Oryzias latipes: one gene and its partners. The protein of the gene in region 3 binds, or shares a complex with, the protein of the main gene of each other region. Links are inferred from orthologs where the notes say so. Each region holds a gene or a part of one and is shown on either strand. Other genes may lie near its edges.

Region 1 (4,270 bases), on a different chromosome or scaffold from region 3:
AACAGCAGAGAGTTCTGACCTGCAGACAACTTGACCTCAACTTTCACCGTCGCTGATATCAGCTGAAGAAGGATATGGACCTGAATCTAATGTCTGCAGTCATAACATCGAAGAGAACTATAAACTCTGTTTTGAACCCAGAAGTACGGCTGTTATCAGTTAAAGAAGAAAGACCAACCTTGGACAATCGACAGTTATGGACCCTTTTTACTTTCCCCCTACAGCATTACTTTATTATAAAAAAAATAATAATAAAAATACAAAAAAAATATTTAAAAAAGTAAAACAAATGATTAATGACTTATTGAAAATTGTTAAATTGATTGCCTTTTAATGATTTTATTTCACTTTCTCCAAAAATTGATAAATTGATTCAAAAATCTTTCCTAATGTAGCATAATTTTGCACATGTTTTTAACTTTTGATACTTGATGAAATTTTGCTATGAAAATTCCTGAAACAGTGTTGTGTCTACTTTACTGATATAGTATTATGTTTTATTCATATGAATGGCTTTTATAAGTAACATAATCTGCATATATTTCAGATGACTGATCTGCATTTGCCATGTTGATTTCTAAAATAGTTATTTTTGACGTAATACTTAAGTAATTCATCTTTGTCATGTGCTTTATCGATATCTTATGATTTTTAATTCTGTATGATATAAACTGGGAACCGGATATTGATAAATCATGTAATAAAATGGTTACAGTATAACGGGGTGGGATTATATAAATTCGCTTCCTTCCACTCCCTTTCAAGCAATATTTATTAATATGTATAATTATCCTAAGTTTGATTAGTTACTGTATGAATGTATAACTGATGATTATATTGCTGTTGTGTATTATTTCTACTTAATTGCTTGAAATAAACCATTTCAAATAAAAAAATAAATAAAATTGTTCTGGTTCTCTGTTGTCATCTATTGTTTGTATGTTTGTACCTTGAGCCTAACGCCGACGCTGCATCAACCCAATTTCCCAAGCTGGGATCAATAAAGTATATTTATCTTAAGATCATTTTGTAAGTGATATTCTTGATTCAAATGGAGAAATTCTTCAGTTAAGAGACTTCAAAGGTAAATATGATATTGAATGCTCAACCGAGGAATTTCAGAAAACCTGCTGAGCAATTCCAATTGCTTCAATACATTTAATAAAAAATACAATATTGTCTTCCTATGTTCAAATTAAACTACCAAATTTAGTAATAGGAGAAATAAAATTTAGTGAAAAAAAACGTGATAATAAATTGCTAAACAAATCCTTTAGAGGTAAATTATACCATGACTTTAACAGAAAAGTGAAATATAAAATAACTGAGACACCTGTCACATCAGATGCTCAACTATGGAAATTCATAAAATGGCCAGTGGTTCCCAAAATTAAAGAAATGCAGTTCAAAATTATAAACAATTATTACCCATCGGCAGAGACATTGAGAAGTAGATTTGGCTTTGAGGTTGATCCGTGTGATTTCTGTCAGGTAACCCCAGAAACAACCCAACACCTGTTTTTTTCATGTCCAGACCAGTGAAAGATTCTGGCAAGATTTTCATAATTGGCTTAGTCAAAAAATTAACAACATACAATTCACAGAAAAACATATTTTGTTTTAAAACAGTAAGTTGCCAAAAGAGCCAACAAATAGTGAACATCCTCCTGATTTTGGGAAAATATATTCATAAGCAAAAGTGGAAAAAAGATCGGCCGAATTTCCTGTGTTTTAAAAATGAAGTCAGATTGTATTTATCCTCATTGAAATGTATTCACAACTCAAATTCTTTCATTGATGACATTTGTAAATCTGCTACAGAATGGTTACAAATCTAGGGTCCAGATTGTTGATTGCCTTGTATTTTAATTTATGCTGATAGTTTTTTTTATATATGTATACATTCTTGTTTTTTTTTTATCTTTGTTTTTCGTGAAGAGCTGTGCCTTGCATCATTGTGTTGTTGTGTCTGCCAGAGTTTTGTAATGAGTATATTTCAATAAAAAAAAAAATTAAAGCAAATTTTATGTCTCTAGTCTAACCTTGATTTATCAGCAAGACGGTAATAAAATATCTTAGAACAATAAACAAGATTTACTTGATACGAGTCAGATACTTATACTACTTTTGACACAAACGTGTTAAGGATTATTTGATTTACAGAAACCTCAGATCAAAACTCTTTTGGAGCAACCGGGTATCCCTTACGTTAAGTGTTTATTCCGTAACCGTCAAAAATGAAAACCGGAAGCTAGATTTTCATCAGCGAAAGTACAACAAAAAAATAATGTTGTGAATTGTTTTATATTTAGACAGTTTTACGTCATGAATCGTAGTAAAACCTTCAGACATTTACCTGCTAGCTCGTCTCCCCTGTGGACTGCGTGATCTGTGTGGCCTGCTAGTGCTACTCGGGCTCAGTTTCTCCTGCTTTATCTTCACTTCGGGCTGCCGTTCTGGAGACTCCCTTCTTCTGTCTCGCTTTTCTTTAGTCATTTTAGTTTATTTTTCCAATAAATTTGAGCTCAATTCAACCAAAACACGACACAGTAGCTAGACAAAGACAAGCCAAGATAAAAAATAAAACCTTTGATGCGTTACCAAACTTCTGGCGTTGTGAAAACAAACTTCCGTTTCCGGTGACTCAAATTAATCCCCTCGACGTGCTCCATGTGCTCCCTATTGTTGGTTCCGCCATGGCCTAATTCGTTTTAAATGGGGAAAACGTGATGTTCAAGTTTTTTTTGTCATAGACTGAAGCATTGATGACACATATACGTGTCGTATTACATAAAAAGTATTCTTAAATGAAACTTTGTTCAAATCAATATTATTTTATTTTGAAAAAGTGTCGCCATGACAACACAAACAGTGAAACGGTATTTCTAACAAAACGTGTAACTTGCTCTCTCACCTCAAAACGATGACTTCTTTTGGCGAGTCCCTCTTGAAATACGATAATCCGATATTGGTAAAAACAAAAGGAGATAAAAAATCTCAAAAGGTAAGTCTTGATGGTTAATGATCTATTTAACTGGCGCCCAGAAACTATATCAATTAAGGCTAGAAATCTCATTGTACTTCCATAATTTCTTTATTGTGGACAATGAAAGGCTACCAAATAAAATCTTCAAAAATAATAAAAGAAATTACAAAAAAATAATAATACAAATAAATGTACAATTTTCCCCCCTTTTTTTTCGTTAATAGGGACGTACTCTAACGTTGAGCAACCTTCCAGCTCCCAGCTTTGCAGCAGGTGTTCCATCTCCCCCTACACAGAATTTGGATGAAAACATTTTGCATGCCATCTTACCACCTAGGTAAAAGAAAACCTCAAAAGCTCACCTAAGCACAACGATTCAGATTTATTTATTCTAGATTCATTATTATTTATTCTTCTTCCTAAGTTATGCAGACAAACATAGACTGTGGCATGCACCAGAGCACAATGACCATCCTCAACTTTTATTTCTCAAAAGTCAAATCTGGGAAATCAAATAAAATCAGGCTTTTTTTTTGTAAAACAGATGCTTTTCATGCCATGTAACTCAAAAAACTTTAAACAACACAGTGGAACAGCTACAGTTGGAACAAATGTAGTTTTTATGTGATCCAAAGATCACCAACAAATCCTAATGTCTAACAAGGAAAAGAGGAAAGGTCCTGTAGCTCAGTGAATGTCCAACTTTCATCAACTTAAAAAGATCAAGTCTTGACAGCAAATATTGCCCACAGGTGCATTATCACACATACGTCTGCTTTTTACTTAATTCAAAAATAAAAAGCTGACACACAATCTAAGATCCCGAAAGCATCCAAAAGTTACTGTCAAATGATTTTCCAAGTAAATTCTGATTTCTTACCATTACAGAGAATGGACAGAGGGGGACCAACAGTGGGTGCAGAAAGTATCTACAGCCATTACCACGAGGAAAGATGTCATTCATCTGCAGGAGCAGCTGAACATAAAGCTAAAGCAGAAAAAGGCCAAACCAACTGGCATCTGCCCCATCCGCTGGGTTCTGTTTTCCCAGTGTTTCGGTAAGACAGCGGAGGGTCGGGACAAAGCTCATCTCCGAGTAAAAATGTGGATAGTTATGAAATATAAATGTATTATGCATCTTATTTCCTTTTTGAGATGAACTCATCAGACAGGTAACCATTGAATGTGCGGAGAGAGGTCTGCTGTTGTGCCGGGTCAGAAATGAGATGCAGATGATGATAAGAGCCTACCAAAACTTGTCTGAGAGCAGCATTGCTTTTGGGA
Region 2 (4,123 bases), on a different chromosome or scaffold from region 3:
CTGGACACTCAGCATTAAGGGGTTGGATTGGGGGGGTTAAATCCACCAAAATGGTTCCCGAGTGCAGCTGTGTCTGCAGCTCACCGCTCCCCCAGGATGGGTCAAATGCGGAAACAAATTTCGCACACTTAGGTGTGTGAGAGAGAGTGGGGTTTAATTTAATTTAATTTAACACACATGTAATTAGAAAGTCACATACATGTTTTTATGTTTTATATTCTTAATTTAGCTCACAAAAATCTTAGGTGGGGAAAAAACACTCCTCAATGGAGCTCATGTTCCTGCTAAATTCATAGGTCTGCATCTGCAGGTGAAAATATATTTCACATTTAATCAAAAACAAAAGTTATGCGATAAATTCTAAACCTTTTTGAAGAAAGAACACTACTGAACAAGAAGAATCATTTGTACCTCTCACCTTCTTGACTAAATACTTTTATAGACAACTTCTTTAAATCGACTGCACTTTTTAACAATGTTTATTGTAGAACTCAGATTAGAACTTTAAGTTTATTTATAAGGAAAGTGAAGTGAAACCTTTTACTAATGTTCATCTTGGGCTCGAGTTGTTTCTTATGTTTTTGTTTTTCTCTGCTGCCCTCTTTTGGATAAAATAGGTCACTGCTGTGACAGTAGAACCTGGTCAAGATAAATGTTTAGGAAATAGTTTACAAAATTAAACTCTAATATTGAAAACAAAATTACTTGTAAGAAAATAATAATAATAAAAAGTTTGAACAATTATGGAAAAATTACAAAAATTATCAACAATTTTCACTTATTGAATTTGTGTTGCAAAAACAACTACAGTAATTACATATCTGTATGCTTGTTAATATTATGTGTAATAGGAAAATAAAAAAATAAAAATCTAAATGATAAATTAGACTATATACATCCAACAATTGAACATCTATGAAGTAAATGACGCTATATCCAAACTAGTTGATGTATCAATATTTAAACCTTCTTTTCTGCTATATGAAAGCTGTTCAAATATTATTGGTACTTGTGTTAATCACTGAAATTAATCCAAGCAAAAATAAACGATTACTGAAAATGTACAAGAAAAAAGTCGAAGCAAAACCTTTGTATTTTTCCCTTCAGGATTAAGAAATAAATATGTACTGAAACAGACGTTGACAAAAAATATGGTGACTCAAAAACAACTTAATTATTAAATTTAGCCTTTTAATTGGTACCAGATGTGTTTTCATACTTTTTATAAGTCATAATTAGTCTGCATATTTGAAGGATTTCACACTGAACGTAATTTTTGACCAAATATCAAATTGTGCAGTATTGACATCCTGCCTGTAGGTGGCGCTTGTTCGGTGAAGGGAAACCTTTCAGTGCAGGAACCGGATGCGGAAAGAAACCCGCCATTAAGGCAACTTGGCATCGTGAGCTGAACGTTGAAATCATTCAATTGTAAAAGGCAATATTTCTTTAACGAAATACTTCTTGCGTGTCTTTTTTGCGTGTGAAGAGAATGGCTTACCGAGGACAAGGACAGAAGGTGCAGAAGGTTATGGTGCAGCCCATTGTATCCTTTCTTTGCTGTTAGCATTTGTTAGCAGCGATGCTAATCGGTTATTTCTCGTGTTTGCTCATCGGTAAACTGTATTCCTTTTTTTTCTAGGTACTACATGACTTTCTAAATACATTGGAATGCATATTTACTGACTTTTTTTAATTTCAGTATTGAAGCACGTATTTTTCTGTTTATCGATCAAATTTAAGCACGACGTTGTACTTCGAAAGAAATTGAATTTGAAACAAACATTTTTAGCATTTTCTAAACGTACATAGCAATATGATGGGTTATCAATTTACTATTATACATTTTACAAAAATACGTTTGTTTAATTGGAAAGAAGAAAACAATGACACGTTTACCTTTGGCAGAGTTTTCTTTTAGTGAAAAAAGAAGTCAACAATCGAGATGTTGCACTTAACGACTTAAACTAATAATATTAGTTAAATGCACTACTTTGGTCTGATAATTAAATGTTCTTTTGATTTGTTGTAACAATTGGTCATATTTTGTAGTTTTTTATTTGGTTTTTAACTTAACTCAAGTTTGTCCCTGTGAGTGTGTGAGACCTGTTTTCTTATTTTTCTTGATTATGAAGTGACATGTCATCTATAAAAAAATAAAAAAGATGTTAAAGAAATTAAGAATACCATTAAAATTTGACTCGTAAAAAAACCCCTAACAAAGTCAATAAATAAGAGAAAATCTAATGCCAGAACCCGTTTTAAATCCATTTTTAAGCGTGTCTTCAGTTGTTTTGACATGGTTGCCCTACAGTTTACGTTATAACGTGGATACATCAGCAGAAGTTAAATAGTAAACTGTAAAACTCTAGAACAATTGCAGAATTTCTGTAAGCTGGTAAAAGGCATAACTAACGTTAAAAGACCGCCGATAATACTTCAAAAATAGATCAAAATGATCTGAGTGGGACTTTCGAGCAAATTCTGCGTCATCCATAGCTTTATTTCATCATTTCGGTCATGTAATTGGTTTGTGAAGTCCTTTTTCACTGGCTTACATTGAAATGTATGACATTCACTGGTATTTAACAGGATCTCAGCTCTCCGGTTAAAGTGCAAAACAGTTTGTGTCACTCTACTGAAATTGAAATGACTAGTTCATGTTATTTGAAATATCTTCTGTAACATTGAAACGGTTTAGACATGTCATTTCCTTGACTCTGTTCATCAGAACCTCATTTTCAGATACCTTCAGAACGTGAGTATTGAAGGCTCTTGCAGGTTCACCTTTTGTCTCGGTGGTGACTGAAATACTGATTCGTGTCATCTTTGCTTTGCAGCGCTCACGAATCCAGGTGTGGCTTTATGAGCAGGTGAACATGCGGATAGAAGGCTGCATCATTGTAAGATTTCTCTTTATTTTACTTTCACAGTGTTTGTTAACTTTCCAAATGTGTGCCACAGTTACTTTAAAACTGGTATAGACTGTAAAAACGATCGACGATTCCAGGTTTTCCTTCTCCGCTCCAAAAGGGGGAACAAGAGAAAGTTTGAGAACCACTGACCTAGCATTTTAGTTATTTTTTTTATTGGAGCTTGGTAAAAGTTCTTAATGGCTGGTGTTAGATCCACAATAATCAACTTAAAACTGTTTTGCAGAAATTTTTTCTACGACTATTTTGGGGCTCTGTTTTAGCTGCTTTTGCAGCGGGCACCTTTCTTACCAGTAGAGCAGAACTCTGCAGCTGATTTAAAAATGTATTTGAAAACGGCAACAAAAAAAACACACACTGGTTCAGACTCACAATACAGTAGGTAAATGATCAATGAGAACAGCATAATGACAAACTAAGCATGAATTAGGAGACCAATTGAAATTGCCGGTCCTACACTCTTGACACTTTAATCTATTTTCAGAACATTCTCGGTGATCTTTTAACTATGATTATGCTGTTTTTAGCCGAAATAAAAACAAACAACCTGTGCCGTTTTCTTGGGGGGGAAAAACCTTGAGAGCCTGAATTTAAATGAATCCAAACAGCTTCAGTTATGAAAGTAGTTAATTGATTATTTCCTTTTTATTTTATTTTCCAGGGCTTTGATGAGTACATGAACCTGGTTCTAGATGATGCTGAGGAGGTCCACATGAAGACCAAGAACAGAAAGCCACTGGGTAAGACTCTTTAGCTTGTTTAATTTGTTAAATTTCAGTTACTATTTTTTGATCTTAGCAGTTATTAGAACAGCTTTATTTATTTATTTTACAATGAAAAATTTGAATATTCTTTGTATTTATTAACATGTACTGTTAGCTTTTGTTTCTAGAACTGCTGTAACAAAATATTTGTTTGAGGAAAACATAGAAATATTTTTCCAGTCAGTATTTATTTGTTATACACTCAGGAATGTCAGTTTTTAAAATGTCAAGATAAATTTCTTTCCTTGTTTCACAGGTCGGGTTATGTTAAAGGGCGACAACATCACCTTGCTGCAGAGTGTCTCTACCTAGTGACACCAGTGACGACTGCAGATCCTGTCTTTTTTTTCTGTTAACTGCTTACGATTTTATGCATAAATGTGAGTTTCTCTACAACCTTTGAGAATAAATGGCTTTGTTTTTTTC
Region 3 (3,938 bases):
TAGGAGGAGAAATATTTGAAAAGTTGTTTATTGAAGGGGATTTTATTTAACCCCATGAAGGGTAAATCAACATCTCCATATACTCTCTACACAACTTTCAGTCGTTTTCTGCAAACGTCAGGTGGAAAGGTTCTCGTCAATCATCGACTCGCTGGTGCTTCAACGCAACGTTGAAGGAAACTTCCAGCTTCAATATTTGCAAAATGTTGTGATAGACCGACTGTTCAATACTTCCTTTTGTTGTTTGATATAGTTCCAGAAGTAAGCATGTTCGATTAGACAAGAGATGTTTATGCTTCAGCCTCTACGCTTGATTGGTGGAGAAAGTGTTTAAAATAAGAGCAGCTGGCAAAAGTAATTGGGCAAAAACGTCGCAAGAATTGGTTGAATTCATGTGAACTGGTGTGATTGCAAAATCCAAGAGGATCTGATGGAACAACAAAGAAGTCCTCGATCTAAAATAGAAGTACTGTTTATGATTCAGGTAAATTGCTACCTGATATATTGTGCAGGAGCGAGTTTGTCGGCGGCCCGGACAGGCATGGCTGCAGCAATCTTTTGCGACACCTGCTTTTGTAGAGCGGCCCGAGTCTTCTCAGTCAACTGCAAAGAGCATCCATCCCCAACCATGAGAAACTACACATGCTTACAGTAATTAAAAACAATAAGTAAGGGCACGCTGAAAGACAATTTCACCAAATCGGATGAATGAATCCTGAATGTCTGCACGAGCCCGAGCAGCAAATTACCTCTTCTACAGCCTCCTCATCCGGCTTCTGAAGGCCTGAAGCGTCTTCATTAAGAACTTCTTTTGGGAGCAGATCAGTGTACTTGCTGTAAATCACCTACAAAAATCAAGAAGAAAATTATAGAAATAATCTCACTCAAAATTTACCAATATGGCAAAACATGCAGACTCATAGAATAGGATAGATTGTGTAAAGCTGCGTTTACACTAAATGCCATTTGCGCATTAGGAGTGTCCAGTTTTAATGTTAGCTTAACGTAAAGAAGCAATCAGATTTGATTTTGGAGCTGCACACCAGTCTGGCAGCCGCGCGCTTTTTTGGCTGTTGCGGTGCGTCAAGAGTTCAAAAATATGAACTTCGGCAAACAAGATGCGCCGCGTCAACCAATCAGGGACTCCTCTTCGGACCGGGATGCGTTGAAGATGTTATAAGTGGATCAAGACACACAAAAAAAGGTCCTGAATGCAGAACAGAAAGTCGTCAAACTGGGTTTCCCTTTCAGGAGCAGATGTGGGAGTCTCTGGATGATCTCATTGATCAAGACATGGAGACGTGCCTATCGACATTTTTGTAGAGCTCTTCAAAGTAGAAAAACGTGATATCTCAACATCATCCCTGTCTGCAGCAATGAGGCTAAAACCGTTTGGCGGTAGCTCCTCCCACATGCGTCTGGAGTGTCGTGTATGAACACCAATAGAAATGTAAGGATCAAACATGGTTTTTACAAAAAACAAAACACTATAGTGTGCATTTTTTTTAAATGACAACCAAACCAAGCTGTATTACCAAAGTTAAGATTAGGTCCCACATTTCTGTGGAGATTCTGTCATCCAGAACATCGGTTCTTCAGCTGGACTTTTAGAGGTCAATTTAGAATCTGTCAAGTCATATAATGAACCTCTCATGTTAGTTTGATAAAGTTCATCGTGTCTTGTATTATTAACTGACTTGTTGGTTCTTTTTTATGTGAAAAAATACAAATAAAACACAGCCGTGTCTGATAGGAATAGAACCAAGAAGTCAGAACCTCTCATGTATTTGTGGACACTAAGAGCAAGAATAGGGTTTTAAAGCTCCTCACTGACTGCCAGAAAGAGGAAAAGCTCAAGTACCTTATCCTTAGCCTGTCCTTGTCTGGCAATGGCATCATATTTGATTTTCCCTTCTGCGTCCACTTGAACTGCCAGGGCGTTAGAGGTCTTCTTCTTCCTGCCCATCTCCAGAGGAAACTGGGCCACGTGAATCTCTGGAAAAGCCCCGCCATCTCCGAAGTCCTAGGAACACCCAGAATGTTTTGTAGAAATGCGAAACTAGGCAGTGAACCAATGTGTAATCCATTGAAGTGCACCTCAAATGCACGCGGAACCCAGCCTTTTCTGTGTCCGTAAGGAGGGGGTTCTTTACGGGACGCAACCAGCGCAGTGGAATAGGATTTCTGGGTCCGAATCCGCTCTTCTGCTTCCAGCTGGTCCTGAGACAGCTGGGTCGGTGCCGGTAAATAGCTGTGCAAAACAGGTCCACATAATGCAGTTTAAAGACAACTTAGCAAGTCGCTGTAAACGCGGATCAGCGTGAAACGACGTCAAAGTAGCAGGAACAAAAACTGCAAACCTGAAACGTTAATGCAGGTAAAGAGGTTTATTTAACACGATATCAAATACATGTGTTTAAGTAATAGATTAAACAAACAAGCTAACTTCAGAAACGGTCGTTTGAGGGTACAAGCTAATGCTAACCCCGTCTCACTAGTTAGCACTAGCTAGCATTAGCTAACATCATAAACACAGAAAAGAGCGAAACGTTTAAAGTTTAACTAAATATTTAACGTTTAATATTAAACCAAATAAATGTATAACAAACACAGACAGAAACTCCGATCGCATTTTGTGCCTTATTCGCCAAAAGGCCTCACTTAGAGACTTACCTCGTCAGAGACATTTTCCTTTCTTCCTGAACTATGAAGTGAGCATGCGCAAGAACAGGCCGTAAGCGAAAAAGAGAAGAAGGTTGCCAGGTTTGACAATTCTAAGCTCTAATACATATCAAACCATGTCCAGTTCGATAAAAACAAAATAAAATAAAAGTACATACTCGTTTTACAACATTTTATTTGTTATGTTAACTTGTTAAGTTAATTACATAATAAAAGCCAATGCACACAAAAAACAGGCTTTCACCCACCCAATGAAAAAAACACGAAACTTTATACATACACTTGTGCTTCCCACATTTTTTTCTAATTATTAAAAAACCCTATATGTTGTATTGGCCAATCATCTATTCATCTATAAAATAAAGTTATTAAATATTTAAAATAATTGAAATAACACAGCCTTTATATTTTCTATGCATACAAATTTGGACTTGCTTTACTTCTGACGGCCGCTTATCCAAATTCCTTTAAAAATAAATTACACCCTGTACCAAATAAGATCTTCTGGCTGCATCATAACTTATAAACTATAAGAACTTTGTCTCTGAACAGCAACTACACAGTGTTGTGGCGCAGAGGATCAGAAAAAGAGCTTTAAGGCTTATTTGAAAAAAACAAAACAAAAAACACTCAGACAGTACACTACAACTCTTATTATTATTTTGTTCCAAACTTCACATTTATAATTTCTTCAAATCATTCCCTTTTTTTTTTTAAACCTTAGAGCCACAATGGATGGACATGTGGCTCCATAGCCTCAGGTTGCAGATCCCTGCCCTGGACTCAGCAGGCCAGGTTCCCAATGAAGAAACACGGGAGTCAAAGGTAAAGTTAAGAAGTTAAAGCAACATTTAAATTACACAAAAAACAACAATAGAAAAATAATAATTTTATAAAAAAACAAGGATGACAGAATAAAAGAATGATATGCTTGAATAAAAAAAATGCATAAATGTTTTTATAAATTACATAAGGATACTTCAGATACATATTTTGTTACTTCAAAAGAGGATTTTTTTTTGGTGGATGGAAACTTCCTCCATTTCCTTTGGATTGTTTTCATATTTAATAAAAAGTATCATTCATATTCAGGAAGAGACTCAGACTGCCAGAGAACTTTTGCTGAAACAGAAGGAAATCCCTTAGGATCTAATAGAAAACAGGTAGCCACCTTATTAAGTCCACTCATGGATAAGTGATTTCATATCCTGCTTTCATGCAGATGTTGCGAGTCTAAATCCTTTTTCTGTCAATCT
Region 4 (4,256 bases), on a different chromosome or scaffold from region 3:
TAAATCCCTTTGTGCATTTGACCAATCGGATGGAGCCCTTTTATGTTAGATGCTCGCCTCATAGGTAGACGAGGGTCATTTGGAGTGTAAATAATTGAAACTATTTACATTTTACGAAACCCTTGTGATATCTTAGATGACCCCACCCTTACATCGACGTGTTCTCCCTACCATGACAAATGTGGATAAAGGTGGAAAGATGTCATGTAATCCATTGACACCAGTGAAGATCACAAATCATTGAAGAAAAAAGGTTTAGCGCACTGTCTAGTGGGTCTAGATGACCCAACTCCCAACGTTAAAATGTCTAGGATAGCACAAGGGTTAACCCTTGTTGTTGTAAAATTAAAATGCAGCTGTTTTTGCTATTTGTTGATATGTAGCAAGTATATTGTCATCGCAATATTGATCACCAATGTTGCAAATTTTCCTCATATCATGCCGCCCAAGTCAGGACTAAAGGGAGGAGAGCCAAACACTCACACGAAGGCAGAACTTCTGTAGATTTTTTTTATTTCAATAAAAGACACCTGAATTATCCAGACTAAGAAAGCCACAAACTTAGGCTTCCATGAGGTTTGGTATTTCTGCTGATTAGTGACAGTTGGTAGAAACGTATTCCTCCCATGAAAGCAGGATAACTTGGGTTTCTATATGTCTTTTTTTTTTAAATCTAATACGACTACAGACAAACTTTCCCTCATTTTTCCTTTGATGAGTATCTGACCTTTTCAGTTGGTGTCCAACATTTGAAAGGAATTATTTTCTGTCTAGTAAAACACATCTTTACCATTTTTCCATGAGAACAAATATACTCATTTTGCTGGAAGCCTGTTTTGAGCAAATTTCAAATTACTTTTATAAATGTACTTGTGCTTAAAAACATACAAAAACCATCTTAATATTCAGATTCTGATCCAGTGAAGACATGAGTCCTGTGCAAACTCCAGCTGCAAATGAGAGGAGGTGCAAGACCTGGACAAGCAGCTTAATTTTCCTCTCTTCATAACCAACTTTAGGGTGGATTTTGTTCAAAGGAAATCCTCCAGATCGGTTCAACATCTGCTGAAAACACCAGAAATTAAACAATCATAAAACCAAAACGGTCACTGTTTGTTTCCACTTGACTGTGAAGCAAAGTCTTTAGTCTTTGGGTAGTGGGATCCCAACAGCCATCTGCTGTCCCTGCATCTGCTGCTCGGCCTGCCTGACCTGATCCTTGGTGCAGCAGTCCTGCAGGAACACAGCAGCTAGGTTGTGCAGCCGGGGACTCTCAGCAAGAGAGAAACGCAGCATGCACTGCAAGATGCCTGGCTCTGTGAGCTGAGATTGTGAAGCTGGAGTCACAAGGTTCATAAGGGTAGTAATTGCTGATAGCACTGTCTCCTCCCTCTGGTTTGACAGACAGTTTGTGATTAAGCTGATGCCGTCACTGTCCAGGATGAGGTCCCTGCAGTCTGGGTCCATACTGAGGTTACAGAGCCCACCTGAGAAAATTTAGACCAAAAAAAATGTTTTTCACTGCATTTATGGTACAAAAAAACCCAAATGATAATCTAAAAAGATTCACCCATTCCAAACTCAATAAAGTTCTCGTTCTTCTCAGTCAACATATCCAGAAACAGGTCGGTCACTTGCAGCTGTCGCAGATACTCTGTGTTCTTTGGGTCGTAAGCAAAGTTGGCGAGGTTTGCCAAAACCTGCTCCTTTGCCTCTAACGACAACAGAACATAAATAAAAAACACAGAATCAGATTCAAATTCAATTAAATTACATATACTGGACATTAATGACTGAAACGGGAACAAGGACCAAAAGCAAGATAAATTTAATCCACCAGAGGGCGCTTTTTTACACCTCAACATTAAAAATAAGACTAAAGACCTGCATTCCTAAAAAATTATTGACGGACAATAATATGTAGTTTGATCCTTTATATATTGCATATAAAAGGCTGCAAAAGTCTATCAGCATAAATCATTAAATGGCATTTGTTAAATTTTGGTTTTATTGATTTTTAAAAAACGTCATTATGCATTTTTAATTTAGTATTCAAACATGATCGTCAGAATTACTAAAGCATAATTATTTAAAAAAAAAAATCTTAAAAGATAAATGCATTGTTTTTTTCCTGAATAATCTGTCCTGTTTCTAAGCATTCAGATTTTAAAAATTAAATTTTTGTAGTTTATATATATATATATATAATAAAATAAATAAAAATAAAAAAATAATTATATATATATATATATATATATATATATATATATATATATATATATATATATATATATATATATATATATATATATATATAAAGTGACTATCATGGATTGATATAAGTAAGACATGCTTTCATTACAATGTTTATGCATTAACAATTTAATTTCAAAGAATTTGTTGTAAACTAGCAATAATTCTTAGTTTTTCTAAATGAATCTGCGAGCTATTTGTGTTTTTACCTTCACTGTCACTATCCTGAAACTCTGTGACAAGAGCCTGTAAATATTCAAACCGGTCAGAGGTTTCGGGTGAAAAGTTCCGTTTCATCATTCAGTATCTTATATTGTGTTTTTAAGAAGACAAACGCGCGATTAAAACAAAAAAATAAAATACATTTGAAATAGTATCCTCATTTATGCATTTGGTTTCAGTAGTTCGTTCATTTTGTCCGTCTTTCAAATACGTCCGGCTTAAATTAGAATTTGGACAGTGGTTCCGGGATATTGTTTCGTGACTCTTTTTTTTTCTTCTTCTGAAGACTGGATGAACTGTTAACGCAACAGAATAACAATTAAAAATGAAACCCAAAAGTAGAATTAAGCTGTTCTTACATAAAAAAGAGCTGTCAATTTATTTTATCACTTAAAACGTTGTGATTTTTAATAATTAGGCCTATAATGTTTCGGTAATAAATCACTTTGATTTAATTTAATTAAATGATTACTTTTTGTCATAGACGATAAAAGCAAATTACTTTACGAAATTCAATTCTCAAACGGAAGTCGGTACTTCTTTGTCGACATAGACGTCAGTGCTGGACCGGAAGTTGAGGCGCTCCAACGTCCCTTCAGCTAACTAACTCACGCGCAGGAAGGTCAGCTGAAAACAAACTCACGTTTCTGTTGCTGTTTGGATTCTATGCCGTGAACCTTCTGATTTAAAGTTCTGCAGCAATGAAGCCTCACAAGCTCTCTGCAGCTAAAAGGCTCACGAAACCTATTCTGTTCGGGAGCATCATTGTTGGACTTGCCACTGTTTACATAAACAGGTGATCTATTTTCTTATTTTGTATAAAACAATAGGAAAGTTATAACGCAAATATAGACTTTAGTCTATATATTCAGAATATTTTTTTATGTGTTTAACGTTGGAGATTGTTGTCCTTGCGTAATGACGCTGACGTTTGATTGTAATCAAGTTTAAGAAAAACACTGAAAACATGTCTGTACTGTCCTTAAGTACAAATTAACATTGGAGCCAAACCATAATTTCATTAACAGGAAATTTTGTCTTTAAATATCTTTAGTAATAGGAAAAATACAACTATTTTTATTTTGTAGCCCTTTTTATTTCCAAAGCAAGGCATCACAGACACATACTCTTTCTTTGCACCACAAAAAATACTAACATTTAATTATATAAGTGTAAGACTGCAGGTAACAGCATTTTTAATTTATAATTAGTAATCATTTGTAATGAGACACTAATGTTTTTAATTAGTAGATTATTTAGCATAATTTCAGTTTTTGACCAGTATCTTCTACAACCTGGAGTGCAATTACTATTTAAAATAAATTAAAGAAATCTAAATAAATGTCTTTGTAAAATATATCTTTAAAATAAGAATCTTTTTTGTAAAACATATTGTGTTATTGGAAGTGGGGGGCTTTTTCACTTCACAAATTTCTCTTTTCTACATTGGTGTCACGTTTTTGACACTTAGTGCAGCTGCTTTTATCAGATTACATTTTTTAAATTTTTTTTAAATTTTTTTGTGTGAAATCTGCTCTGGTTTAGTTGGTGTACTGCTGCAGAGATTCCTTTTCTAAAAAAAAGTTTTAAAAAGAATTTGAGCTGCAGATTGTGCTTTTCCAAACCAGGTTACTGTCTTAAAGAGAGCCCATTTTTGCATTTTGTGGTTTAAAATGCAGCTTATTTTTGTGTCCTGTGTTTGTATTTTTCTGTCTTGCAGACACAGGTTCTTTGAAGATGTGGATGAACTTCGGGCCCAGGAGCGCGCTCGCAATGACGCC
Region 5 (3,500 bases), on a different chromosome or scaffold from region 3:
TTGGTCAATGTTGTAAAGGGTCCATCTGAGAGGTCAAATGCAGAAATGGATTTATTTGATTCGTTAAATACTTTAAGGTGTCATAGGACTGTTTGAGCACATTGAAGGGAACCATTTATTGCAATTTTTCGCCGTCTTTTGCGATATGCGTATTGTATAATAATTGATTTGCGATTTATTTTGCAGGCCTACATTCTAGTTTTTTAAATTATTTGATAAATAAAAATGACTTAATAAAAGCAACGGAAACTGTTCTTCAAAGCAGAATATCGTATATTAGCCTCAGTTGTTACTGAGGTTTTTCAGAAGTTATGTGCAGTGTTTTTTATCTGACCATAAGCTCACCTCCCTCTGACGATATTTTCGTGTAGGAGCTCCTGGATGATGTTGACGATGTTGGACACGTTGACTTTGTTGATCAAACCGTTGATGGACTTCTTCAGAGCCTCCCAGCTCATCCTCTGATAGGCCAGGCTGTACAGGCAGGCAACGAGTTAATCAACTGGCTAATAAACTGACTTCAGCTGCTGAACAGACAAATAAATGAAATAATAAGTGATCTGAAGCTGCTAATAAAACGTAAAAATGGTGAATAGCTTGATAAAAACCTGCCACTAAAATGGAAAGTTCCAGAATGGGTTCATACCTTTAGTTAAATAAAAGGTCTTAATCTCTGTCTCACCTGCTCTTGTCAGTGATTTGTTGCTGCATCATGCGCAGCTTGGCAGGGGGAATGTAAGCACCCCCGGTCCTGGTCAGGATCGGATCAATCTCCTCCTTTTTCTTCTTAACGGGAGGCTTTTCGGCAGAATCTGGCTCCTTGTCATTGGAAGGAGAAGCGGAGCGGCCCCGCCTCCTCTCACCGGACTCCATATCCCTGTTGCCTCGCCAATCAAAGCGTCCATTTCTATCGTCGCGTTGATCCTGGTAGCGATCCCTGAAAATCAAAAATATTCAAAAGGTTTTGTGTCAAACCCGTGAAAGGTTCGATTTCTTGAGACTCACGTTCGTCCAATCTGTTCAACATTAGTTCTAAAGAGTGGATTTAAATATGTTAAAAGACTTTACAAAAATAATTTTGACCCAAAAAAAAGTTAGGTCTACAAATAAACATGGGGAAAAAAATGATAAATCCAGCAAAAAAAAGAACATCTAAGAGTAAAAATAATTATGACAAACCTTTGATTTAAAATAAGATAATTCTAAACTAGGGTACCCTAACATATAAATCCACAGCTGCTTAATGAAATTCAAAGAAGTTTTTCCTTCTATTTAAAAGAAATAGGATGAAATCAGACAGTGTTGGTGTGTGTCTAACAGTTACCGAGCATAATATCTTCTGTTAGAACGGTCTGGGTTCCGGTCTCTAGATTTGGACCTGGATCTGTCCCGTCTTCTGGACCTCGATCCGTCTCTTCCCCTGGATCTTGATCTGGATCTGGATCTATCACGACCCCTGGACTGAGATCTTTCTCTCTCCCTGGACCGGGGTTGGTCTTTCTCACCCGACTTGGATCTGGATCTGGATCTGGATCTGGAGTTGTCCTTTTCCCTGGATCTGGACCTTGCTTGCTCTTTCAACTCCGGTCTCTGAAAGACACAAACATAGGACAGTTAATCAAGACTGCCAACTTAAGCTGTTCACATCATGCAACTATGTGAGCTTTTGGGTTACCATTACAAATCAATCTAAAAAAACAAATATTCCATTTCTATTGATTAAAAAAAGACATTTTTTTGCTTCCAAGCTTTAGTTCAGTTGAGTGACGGAAGCAACTCTGCAGTCCATCGTCTGTCTACATCCGTCTGCTTTAAATAAGAGCCTGCAGGTAACTGGAGAGCTCGTCTCTCAGAAAACAGTCATTGCCACAAAGTCTTCTTTCATTTGTTATTGTCTCAATCAGTACTCCAGTTTTTGCTCAGATATCCTGGGGTGCCTTTCTTCAATAAAAAAAAAGCTAATTTCCCTCTGCCTGAAATCTCAATTAAGATGCTATTTTTTTTTAATCTGAAATTATTAATTACAAGTAGTATTTAAAAGAATTTAACATCAGATAAAATATGTTGTATTTAGTCACAAAGTCAAGGTATCTATTAAAATGATGCTCATGATGGCAGAAATGCTTAACTAAGATTCAGATGATGGCAGATGGAAATGATATTGCATCTTTTTTGGCAGCTTTCTCTGCGAGTTTGTTTAAACTAAATGGTGGTCAGTTTTCATTCATGAAACCTGAAGACTTTAAATCAACAATGTAAAAATAGTGGATGTGCAAATGTCTACAGTACATAAAGCTTTTCTGGGGCACAGTGTACTCTTTAAACTGATAATAGTGTGACATCAGAAAAAAAGAGGACATTTTGATCATTAGAAAAAGAAAAAAAGCTTTGAAATGAATTAAGACAAGTATATAATAAGGACACTCAGACATTCAAGAAGAAACCTTTACAAAATAAAAAAGTTAATGACAGACTTCACACATTTAAATTCCAGATGCATCTGATTTTGAAAAGCCAGACAGATAAAACATGATTTTCCAAGTCTTTAGGATTAACAGCACAATGTAATATATTTAAACAGAGAAGTTAATTTCAATAGTTTATTTATGTTGACTCTTTTTTTAAACTAAGAAAGACAAGTGGAAAATTATCATTAAAAGTTGAAGTTTTTTCTTCTTTTTTTCTCCTTTAAGGAGTCTTAAATAGTATATTCAAAACAGACACTTTCTACATGGAAAAGAGTATTAATTTCCATAATTCATTTCAAAAAATTGAACTTTTATAGTGTAAAGGTTTGGGGCCCACCATTTAATTGATTTCAAGTGTATTTGTTTGGGGATTAATTGGAGTTCCAGCTCATAAAACCCACAAAAACAAGATTTCAGAAAATCTGAATACGGTACTGTGGGGAAATCTCCCCTTTTGCAAGAAGATAAAGACGGAGGTCATGATCACATGAAATCCATTAAAATAATGTATTTTCAAAATGATATGTCGATCTTCATTGCTAGGTTGGGAATCCCTTAGCCTTAACAACTGCCTTGATGCACTGTGACATTGATGCAATCAGCTTGTGGCGTTATGGGAGCCCAGATTTTCTTGATGCTGCCGTCAGCTCTTTTTTTGTTTGACCCCATACATTTTCAATGGCCTTTAGGTTTATCGAGTTGGCAGGCCAGACGAGCATCAAACCAGGCTTTGGAGCTTGTAGCGATATGGGCGGGGTCTAAGTCCTGCTGGAAGATGAAATCTGCGTCTCCATCCAGATCCTCAGCAGGAGGAATCATGAAGTCTTCTAGAACAGTGGTCCCCAACGTTTTTAATGCCACGGACCGGTATGACGTCACAGAAAGGTTCCTAGGACCCGTCTTGAAACTTGTAGACAGATGATTATGGTCGCTATGCCATGATAAACAAGTACCAGAGTCATGGCAAGACGAAGCCTGAGCTTTTATTTTTACACGCATGACATCGTACAGGTGTCATCATCCTCTCCCCTT
Region 6 (4,165 bases), on a different chromosome or scaffold from region 3:
TGAAACCGAAATTTTTTTTTTCACATGTTAGTCTTTATCTAAGTAGAATCAGATTATTTGGTGCATTTAAATGAAGGCAAACACATGATAAAACGTTGATTTAAGCTTTATGGCAGACTAATAAAATGTGTTATTTAAAACGGATTGAAAACAACTAAATCACTGATTTCTTTTTTCTTTCAAAATGTCAGAAAGTTTTTACCTTAAACACTGAGTTTTTATAAAATGTCAAACTTTTTTCTTGCCATCTACAGTAGAGCCACGTAGCAGCTGAGATTTCAGACTTCCTGTTAATCTTACAAAACAAAACCAAGGACACTCTGCTGGTTGTTGTTTTTTTTAGAACAATCCAAATACCTTGATGTCATTGTCGATGCCTCCAGACAGGATTTGGTCGCTGGTGTCATTAAACGTCACGGCCAAAACTTGGTAGGTGTTCTGGAAGGTGTGAATTGCCGCCTTTTTACGGATGTCCCACAACTGCAGTGACGATTAACAAAAATACAATAAAGCAACATTTAAAAACTTTGAATGGGACCTCAACAGTTGAAGCATTCAGAATAAATAACTGCACCTAAAATAAAAATGTCACACCTTTATCGTCCCATCATCGCTGCCGGTGCAGACCAGTTGTGGCCCCCGGCGAGCTGGGTAGCAGGTGTTAACAAAGGAAGTGTGACCTTTCAGGCGCTTAATCCTCTCCCCTGTTTCACTGTCCCAAATGCCCACGGTCTTGTCTGTGCTTGCCGAAAATAACAAGCTGGAGGCACAAAAATGATCCAGTCAAATTTTATGGAAAGGTTATTTAAGAAATGTAGATAGTTCCAAGTCCTAAAATTTACAGATGAACATTTTTTTTGTTCCATAAAGTTCCTTAGTTTTTGAAATCAAACTAAGACTAAGAAACAATGAGAATATGAGCTTTACTTTCACTGTAAACATAACCTAAAACAAGAAAAATGTCAATTTAAAGGTGAAGTTTAAAGATAAAATCTACAGCTTTCTTCCTACCTGCCATCTGTGTTGTAATGCAGCTCCATCACAGCTCCACTGTGGCCCTTCAGGGTGGCGTAATTTTCACACTCCCCAAAAACGTTCCACAGAACTGAGGTAAAGGAAGTAAGTGAGGAACAAAGCAACAGAAGAAGGCCGGGAGAACGGCAGCTTGCCTCTTTTTGCTTACATATGAGTCGGTCGAAGCCAGAAGACGCCAGCGTGGCTCCATTTGGATGAAATTTGCAGCAGTACACCTCGCCCTCGTGGCCCGACATCAGCATGATGGGAGCTTGCAGGCTGGAGGTCCGAGGAGGACCCTGGAGGAGAAAGGTCAGTTTAATTTACTTTCTGTTTTTTTCTTCCAGATTTAGTCCAAGTGAAATCTAAAAAGAAAACAGGCATGTGATAAAAGACAGATAAATAAAAGTGCGTTTGGGCTTAATGTGCCACAGAACGCTTCAGAGTAAAGTCCACAAAGTTTAATGCAAATCTGCAGCAGACCAGTGAGGAAATGGATCATTTGTAAAGGATCAAATTGATCATGTGACACAAAGGATCTTGCCACCCTATGGTGGCACACTTTCCATGCAGGGGCTTGTGGTGCAGAGGCAGAGCGGTCCACCTGATCACAAATATCGCAGGTTAGGTTCCACAAATGGGTGGGCAAGGCGGGAACCTAACCTGCGATATTTGTGATCAGGTGGACCGCTCTGCCTCTGCACCCTATGGTGGCACACTTTCCATGCAGGGGCTTGTGGTGCAGAGGCAGAGCGGTCCACCTGATCATGAATATCGCAGGTTAGGTTCCCGCCTTGCCCACCCATGTGTGGAAATGTCCTTGGGCAGGACACTGAACCCCACATTGCTTCTGGTGGTTATAGTTTGGCGCCAGTAAGAGAGCGAAACCGCCATCAGTGTGTGAATGTGTGTGTGCATGGGTGACTGTGAATGTGACTGTTGCAGGTGATATGTCATGCAGATTTTTGCAACATCAAAAGATGATTGCTAAAATGAAACCCCAGTGTTTAAAAGCTATTTATTTTTTACAATAGAAAAAAAAGATTTAGTATCTATCCTGTTAAATATCCTATAGTTTTGTCTCAATAATCAAAATATCTACTTACAGAAAAACATCTACAAACTGGAAAAGGTTTAAATACACAAAACTCATGCTTAATAAAAAAAATAACATTTTTTAATTTTCTATCATAACATTAGCCTAGGATTTGTAACCTGTTCACGGTTCACCCCGGAAACACCCATAACTGGGAAAGGTTCCTTTACCATCAGTTTGTTGATAACAACGGGATTTCGAATATAATACGTATTTTAAAGAAGCAACATTACATCCAAAAATTAAATATCCTAGCGAAAACTCGTGTTGTTATTCGTTGTCATGTGTTCTCTACGTCAAGAAATAATAGGTGCACCACAAAAAATGTCGTGTTTGAGTAAATTTTAGATTACATCATTTAAAGCATGCATAATACAAATGCGGGTCAACACCCGTGTGTATATATTTTCTCTAATTTGAGTTTTTTTGTGTGAACGTTGATTCTTTTCGTACCGTAGCCACGAGTTGCTGGGACTGTGCCGCCGCCACCAGCTCGTTCCGGGCTCGCTTCACAGCGGTGGGAATTACCGCCATGTCTCCCGCTCTTTTCTTTGGTTCAATCATCCCGAAATAATTGCAAATAATCGACAAAAATAAGTTTGTTTGTGACTACGGTTTACCGAATGACTATTTGCGCCTTCATGGGAAACGAGAAAAGCGTAGCACCAACGAAGAAATCAGGATGAAGTGTTTCCGGTGAGTATGAGCTGTGTGATTGGTTTAAACATCCATCTCCTGCTGTGATTGGCTGATGAAGACGTTGTCAGCGACAATGCACCGGAAGTACAACAATCTGAGTTCAGCTAACCACACGAAAGGTAATATTTTCATCCTTTTTTCAAGACTTAAGATACTTTTTGCGTGATTTTCCTTATCGTTCTACCACGACAAACGCCTATACTGTTCATGTCTGAGCTTTTGTCTTTGAACTGACGGTACAAACCGTAAGAGGACGAAATTATAAGCTAACCAAATTCATTGCTGACTTGTCTTGTTGTCAACTTAGATTTTTTGTTCGCTCGATTATTAAAAAACAACAACTTTGAGCTAATTTTTACATAAATAAAATTAGTAATTATATTTCTTTGGTACCGGGAAGTTAATGCTTTATTGCGACAGGTTGGCTTCATCGTAGTTTAAAATGACACGAATGACAATTTTCATTTTCAACCACATATTTGTACAAATAAATATCCCAAAAGGCACAAGGTCATTCTTTATTTGCAAGAAGTGAACAGCACAGCAGAGGTTAAAAATTTACCGAACTCTTTCTGTCAACCACATTACCTTTGAAATTAATTCATTTTCTTTTATGACTTTCGTTTGGTGAATTGGATGAAAGAAGATTGCTGTTTCATTTCCTCTCCCAAATTATGTAGAAATCTAAGAGAGGCAGTAAGTTGTCTTAAAGGGAAGAGTTTGGTCGGAAACCACGAAGATAAAGGGATTGCAAGTTTTCACCTCAAGGTCTCTGCTCTCTGAATTGTCTGGGCATAAACACTGATGGCAAATCTATCCATTTTGTAAACCCGTTTTGTCCCTTTCGGGGTCATGGGGCTGTCAGAGCCTTACCCGGCCACTCGCATGTTTTTGGATGGTGGGAGGAAGCCGGATCTCCTGGAGAAAACCCACGCATGCACAGATTTAGAGTAAAGCGCTAACCACTTTGTCACAGTGCAGCCCTGACCGCAGATCTGTACAAGGCAATGTATGCCACCTTAGTGCTGACTGATTGAGGAAACATCCAGGGGTTTTCTCTGAAAACTCACTTTACTGTTATCATCTCTAGTTACATAAAAAACCTGGTCTCCAGTTTGTATACCAGCTTCAGCTTGTACCAGACAATGCAACTACTTGGTTTTGGGAAACAGTACTGGTATAAAGTTGGCACATACCGATTCTAAACAGGTACTTATGACTGTGGCAGAGCACCTCCTCACTTGTGGGTACCAAAATCTCAAAACTAGAGTAGTTTGAGCAAAAAAAATCTAGGATGAGCATAAGAGATTTGACATTTGTGTGGCGAGCTCAGCTCAAATTAAGGGAGTGATAAAC
Region 7 (3,500 bases), on a different chromosome or scaffold from region 3:
ACAGGCAAACAACAAGCTAACAGGCAAACAACAAGCTAACAGGAAAACAACAAACAAGCAACAAGCTAACAACAAACAATAAGCTAACAGGCAAACAACTAGCTAACAGGAAAACAACAAACAAACAAGCTAACAACAACCAAACAAGCTAAAAACAAACAAACAAACAAGCTAACAGGCAAACAACAAACAAACAAACAACAAGCTCACAACAACCAACAAGCTAACAGGCAAACAACAAGCTAACAGAAAAACAACAACCAAACAACAAGCTAAAAACAAACAAACAAACAAGCTAACAGGCAAACAACAAACAAACAAACAACAAGCTAACAGGCAAACAACAAGCTAACAGGAAAACAACAAACAACCAAACAACAAGCTAACAACAAACAACAAGCTAACAGGCAAACAACAAACAAACAAACAACAAGCTAACAGGCAAACAACAAGCTAACAGGAAAACAACAAACAAACAAACAAACAACAAGCTAAAAACAAACAAACAAGCTAACAGGCAAACAACAAGCTAACAGGAAAACAACAAGCTAACAGGCAACAAACAAACAACAAGCTAAAAACAAAAAACTAACAACAAATGAACAACAAACGAATGAACAACAAACAAACAAACAACAAACGAACAGCAGGTGAACAGCTGGCGAACTACAAACAAAATATGAACACACGAACAACAATCAACCAAAAAGTACCATTGTAAAAGTACCAAGTAAGTAACCAGTAAATTCCATAAAAAGTACACATGTAAACACTGTAAGTACCCAGTAGTTACACAAAAAGTACCATGTAAATACCGCTTAAGTACACTGTAAGGACTGTACTGTAAAGGAAAGCGTTACTGAAAACCTTAGAGCCGGTTTCCAGGGGGGTATTCCAGACAGTAGGTTATGCTAGCTCTCACGGTAAGTTTGAGGCTAAGGAAGTTGATAACCTCAGCTTTCAGTTCCAAAAACAGAGGTATGTTTCAGGGTATGTCAAGTTGCCATAGCAACTCATGCTCTGAACATAACCTGGTCTGGAGCAGGTTTAGTTGAAGGTTAGTTTGTTTTCAGAGAGGTGAAGCAGCATGGCGTGTCCATTTGAAGATGATTTAGTGGATGAAGAAGCTCAGATAATACTTTTTCCACCATGAGAGGGGGATAAGACCACATATGGATGTTGGAAAGAGAAACTTTTTTACTTTGATCTAACTTAGTTATTTGCTTCAGTTAAGATAAATCCTTTGTTTGTTAAGTCAGTTTAAAAATAACACGTAGTTTTCAGACAGTCATTTTACTTTCATTCAAATTAATTCAATTAAGTAGGTTTAACTTTGGTGCTGCTGTTAGACCGGCACCGCAAGGGATTGTGGGATACCATTCCTTTTGCCTATCTGGACGGATTTGGGTTTAAGTGTGGCTTTTTGACCAAATGTGTTTAGTTGTTTAGCTGTTTTGCCGAGTTATTTTGTCCCACTGTGCTTATGTCTCTGCACCATGAGTGAGAGTGAAGGAGAGGATGATGAGTTTATAGAGCACCCCTACCGTTACATATTGTAATGACAAAGACGGACAATTCTTTAATGAATTTGTGCACAATGTGCATTTCTTTCCCGTCCTTTTTATTGTTATAAAAATGAACATATCTGCCGGCTCATACTTAGACATATGAGAGATCAAGAAATATAATTAATTAAGATGGAAAAATATTAATTGAATTGGAGTAATATGACATTTAGTTAGATAAATACATAAATTTGAGTTGTAAAAACAATTATTGAGTTTTATAGACGTAAGAAATTAGGTTGATTAAATTTAACTCAATTATTTGTTACCAATAGAAGTATTTCATTTAAGGTGGCAAAATTGGATAAGTTATATATATATGCGTCACAAGGAAAATGGAAATAAGATCAGAAACTCGTGCGTTTACTTTGTCTGTTCTTTTTCTCCAAGCAGAAACTTTCTTTTGCTGATGATGCAGCCGTGTCACTTTTTTGATGGTCGTATAATCTTCATACGCCGTCATTAATCTCAGACTCCGTCTCACTGAAGTATAGCGTTCTCTTTTTTTCTCCACGCGTTTCCATGGTGACTCCAGAAATCGGCGATCTATTGAGAATGTCTTTATGTACCTGCTGTGCACGTGCATTAACCCAGGGTTACCAAGTGGAGCGTAATTACACCAACTCATATCCGGTCTTTGGGAACCGACATACCCAGAGTAAGCAAGTTCAGGCAGATTTCAGCCAGAGTTCAGGCTTAAAGTCAGGGGAGTTTAAACATGCTTCCTGGAATACCCCCCTGAATAACTGCAATATTGATAATAAAAACATACATTTGTTGACTCCTTGAACATCAGAAAACCTGGTTTTCAGAGAAACGATCAACTATTCATTGAAGAAAAGCTGATGGTTTTAAAATGCCGACAAACTAAAAGGACATTAAAGGCAAGAGAGGCTTTCATGAACTCAACGTTTTGATTTAACATGATGGATGTAAACCTGGAGGCACGCCTCTTCGCTGCAGCGCTGAGGATTTGCGGCCCTCTCGTCCTCGCGTGCACATTTGTTGACACGGCGTTTGAGCAAAGCCGACAGCTCAGTGAGCAGAAAATGAACGTGGAGCCACAGACTTTACACGTTTCTGCTCCAGTTGCTGTGAAAGCTCAGACTTCACCTCATTTGCTGTGTCTGTTCTCTCAGACCACCTTCACCTCCAGACCGCCATGTTCAGGAAACCTCTGTGCCAAACGCAGCCCAGCAGCAAAAAGAAGCTTCAAAATGAGGAGAAAAGCTGCTCCAGTCTGACTGATTAGCTGTCATGTCAGTCAGTCCAACTCTGCTGTAGCTGCACACCTGTCTGTCTGGCTCCCTCTTGTGTTGGAAGCAGATATGGCACTTTTCATGAGCTGCTGGCTAAAAACGAACAGCTGATCTGACAGTGAAACGATCCAGACGGTTCATTTTACTGACAGAGCTCTGCTCCGTGAAGCAGCTTTCATTAGAGGAAAAACCAAACAGGTTGGCATCATTAAAAACCTGCTGTCCTTGTTTTCCAGTCAAACAAAAAGGCAGCAAGGCTCCTACGGTATTTATCATGTGACCAGGAACAGCTGAGCCATTGGCTTCATTTGTCTGAGTTGAAATGATGGATTTGAAAAACAAAAAAACAGCTGAGATCTCTGCTGCATGTGGGAGGGGCTGAGTCACTGCTGCATTAGGCAATTGTTCAGCAGTAAAAACAGAATCTGCTTCATAATTATTCAACAACTCTGAGGAGAAGAACAAGAAGCTCTGACGCTACGCCAAAACAAAGTGTGTCAGAACAACGTCAGGAGGAGTTTATTCCTATCAGGGTTCTACTCACAGCATTTAGTTTGTCCGTTTTCTTGGCCTCCGGCTCCTTCATGGTGGAGGCCAGCAGCTGATCTCCTTTGTATTCCTTGTAGAGCTCGGCTAAGGTCTCCCTGGTTTCCAGATTGGTGCTGTTCAGATGGTA

Evidence for each region.
Region 1: snw1 (region 3) and snip1 share a complex: the UniProt entries of both Homo sapiens proteins name them as parts of the SNARP complex. The link is inferred for Oryzias latipes from reciprocal best matches to the Homo sapiens genes SNW1 and SNIP1.
Region 2: snw1 (region 3) and snrpe share a complex: the UniProt entries of both Homo sapiens proteins name them as parts of the minor spliceosome. The link is inferred for Oryzias latipes from reciprocal best matches to the Homo sapiens genes SNW1 and SNRPE.
Region 4: snw1 (region 3) and armc7 share a complex: the UniProt entries of both Homo sapiens proteins name them as parts of the minor spliceosome. The link is inferred for Oryzias latipes from reciprocal best matches to the Homo sapiens genes SNW1 and ARMC7.
Region 5: snw1 (region 3) and cwc22 share a complex: the UniProt entries of both Homo sapiens proteins name them as parts of the minor spliceosome. The link is inferred for Oryzias latipes from reciprocal best matches to the Homo sapiens genes SNW1 and CWC22.
Region 6: snw1 (region 3) and snrnp40 share a complex: the UniProt entries of both Homo sapiens proteins name them as parts of the minor spliceosome. The link is inferred for Oryzias latipes from reciprocal best matches to the Homo sapiens genes SNW1 and SNRNP40.
Region 7: snw1 (region 3) and ppil2 share a complex: the UniProt entries of both Homo sapiens proteins name them as parts of the minor spliceosome. The link is inferred for Oryzias latipes from reciprocal best matches to the Homo sapiens genes SNW1 and PPIL2.

Annotation. Positions count from the first base shown.
Region 1 is NC_019874.2:23,603,914-23,608,183, forward strand, and holds the start of snip1 (smad nuclear-interacting protein 1), read right to left. Parts: upstream 2,801-4,270; 5' UTR 2,673-2,800; coding exon of another isoform or gene 2,602-2,672; 5' UTR 2,497-2,601; coding exon 2,357-2,496; intron 1-2,356. Other genes in the region: dnali1 (axonemal dynein light intermediate polypeptide 1), read left to right, coding at 2,924-3,004, 3,211-3,323, 3,875-4,044, 4,142-4,270. UniProt on the Homo sapiens protein: Required for pre-mRNA splicing as component of the spliceosome. As a component of the minor spliceosome, involved in the splicing of U12-type introns in pre-mRNAs. Down-regulates NF-kappa-B signaling by competing with RELA for CREBBP/EP300 binding.
Region 2 is NC_019863.2:23,629,254-23,633,376, reverse strand, and holds the start of snrpe (small nuclear ribonucleoprotein E), read left to right. Parts: upstream 1-1,323; 5' UTR 1,324-1,492; coding exon 1,493-1,546; intron 1,547-2,731; coding exon 2,732-2,758; intron 2,759-2,840; coding exon 2,841-2,903; intron 2,904-3,594; coding exon 3,595-3,673; intron 3,674-3,953; coding exon 3,954-4,009; 3' UTR 4,010-4,123. UniProt on the Homo sapiens protein: Plays a role in pre-mRNA splicing as a core component of the spliceosomal U1, U2, U4 and U5 small nuclear ribonucleoproteins (snRNPs), the building blocks of the spliceosome.
Region 3 is NC_019882.2:3,678,808-3,682,745, forward strand, and holds the start of snw1 (SNW domain-containing protein 1), read right to left. Parts: upstream 2,801-3,938; 5' UTR 2,688-2,800; coding exon 2,674-2,687; intron 2,252-2,673; coding exon 2,098-2,251; intron 2,024-2,097; coding exon 1,862-2,023; intron 846-1,861; coding exon 750-845; intron 604-749; coding exon 497-603; intron 1-496. UniProt on the Homo sapiens protein: Involved in pre-mRNA splicing as component of the spliceosome. As a component of the minor spliceosome, involved in the splicing of U12-type introns in pre-mRNAs.
Region 4 is NC_019877.2:19,372,938-19,377,193, reverse strand, and holds armc7 (armadillo repeat-containing protein 7), read right to left. Parts: upstream 2,801-4,256; 5' UTR 2,554-2,800; coding exon 2,463-2,553; intron 1,715-2,462; coding exon 1,571-1,714; intron 1,488-1,570; coding exon 1,144-1,487; 3' UTR 497-1,143; downstream 1-496. UniProt on the Homo sapiens protein: As a component of the minor spliceosome, involved in the splicing of U12-type introns in pre-mRNAs.
Region 5 is NC_019879.2:6,700,180-6,703,679, forward strand, and holds part of cwc22 (pre-mRNA-splicing factor CWC22 homolog), read right to left. Parts: intron 1,591-3,500; coding exon 1,325-1,590; intron 938-1,324; coding exon 683-937; intron 475-682; coding exon 346-474; intron 1-345. UniProt on the Homo sapiens protein: Required for pre-mRNA splicing as component of the spliceosome. As a component of the minor spliceosome, involved in the splicing of U12-type introns in pre-mRNAs. Promotes exon-junction complex (EJC) assembly.
Region 6 is NC_019869.2:21,982,921-21,987,085, forward strand, and holds the start of snrnp40 (U5 small nuclear ribonucleoprotein 40 kDa protein), read right to left. Parts: upstream 2,801-4,165; 5' UTR 2,675-2,800; coding exon 2,564-2,674; intron 1,314-2,563; coding exon 1,184-1,313; intron 1,106-1,183; coding exon 1,012-1,105; intron 761-1,011; coding exon 595-760; intron 481-594; coding exon 358-480; intron 1-357. UniProt on the Homo sapiens protein: Required for pre-mRNA splicing as component of the activated spliceosome. Component of the U5 small nuclear ribonucleoprotein (snRNP) complex and the U4/U6-U5 tri-snRNP complex, building blocks of the spliceosome.
Region 7 is NC_019867.2:618,824-622,323, reverse strand, and holds part of ppil2 (peptidyl-prolyl cis-trans isomerase-like 2), read right to left. Parts: coding exon 3,369-3,500; intron 1-3,368. UniProt on the Homo sapiens protein: Has a ubiquitin-protein ligase activity acting as an E3 ubiquitin protein ligase or as an ubiquitin-ubiquitin ligase promoting elongation of ubiquitin chains on substrates.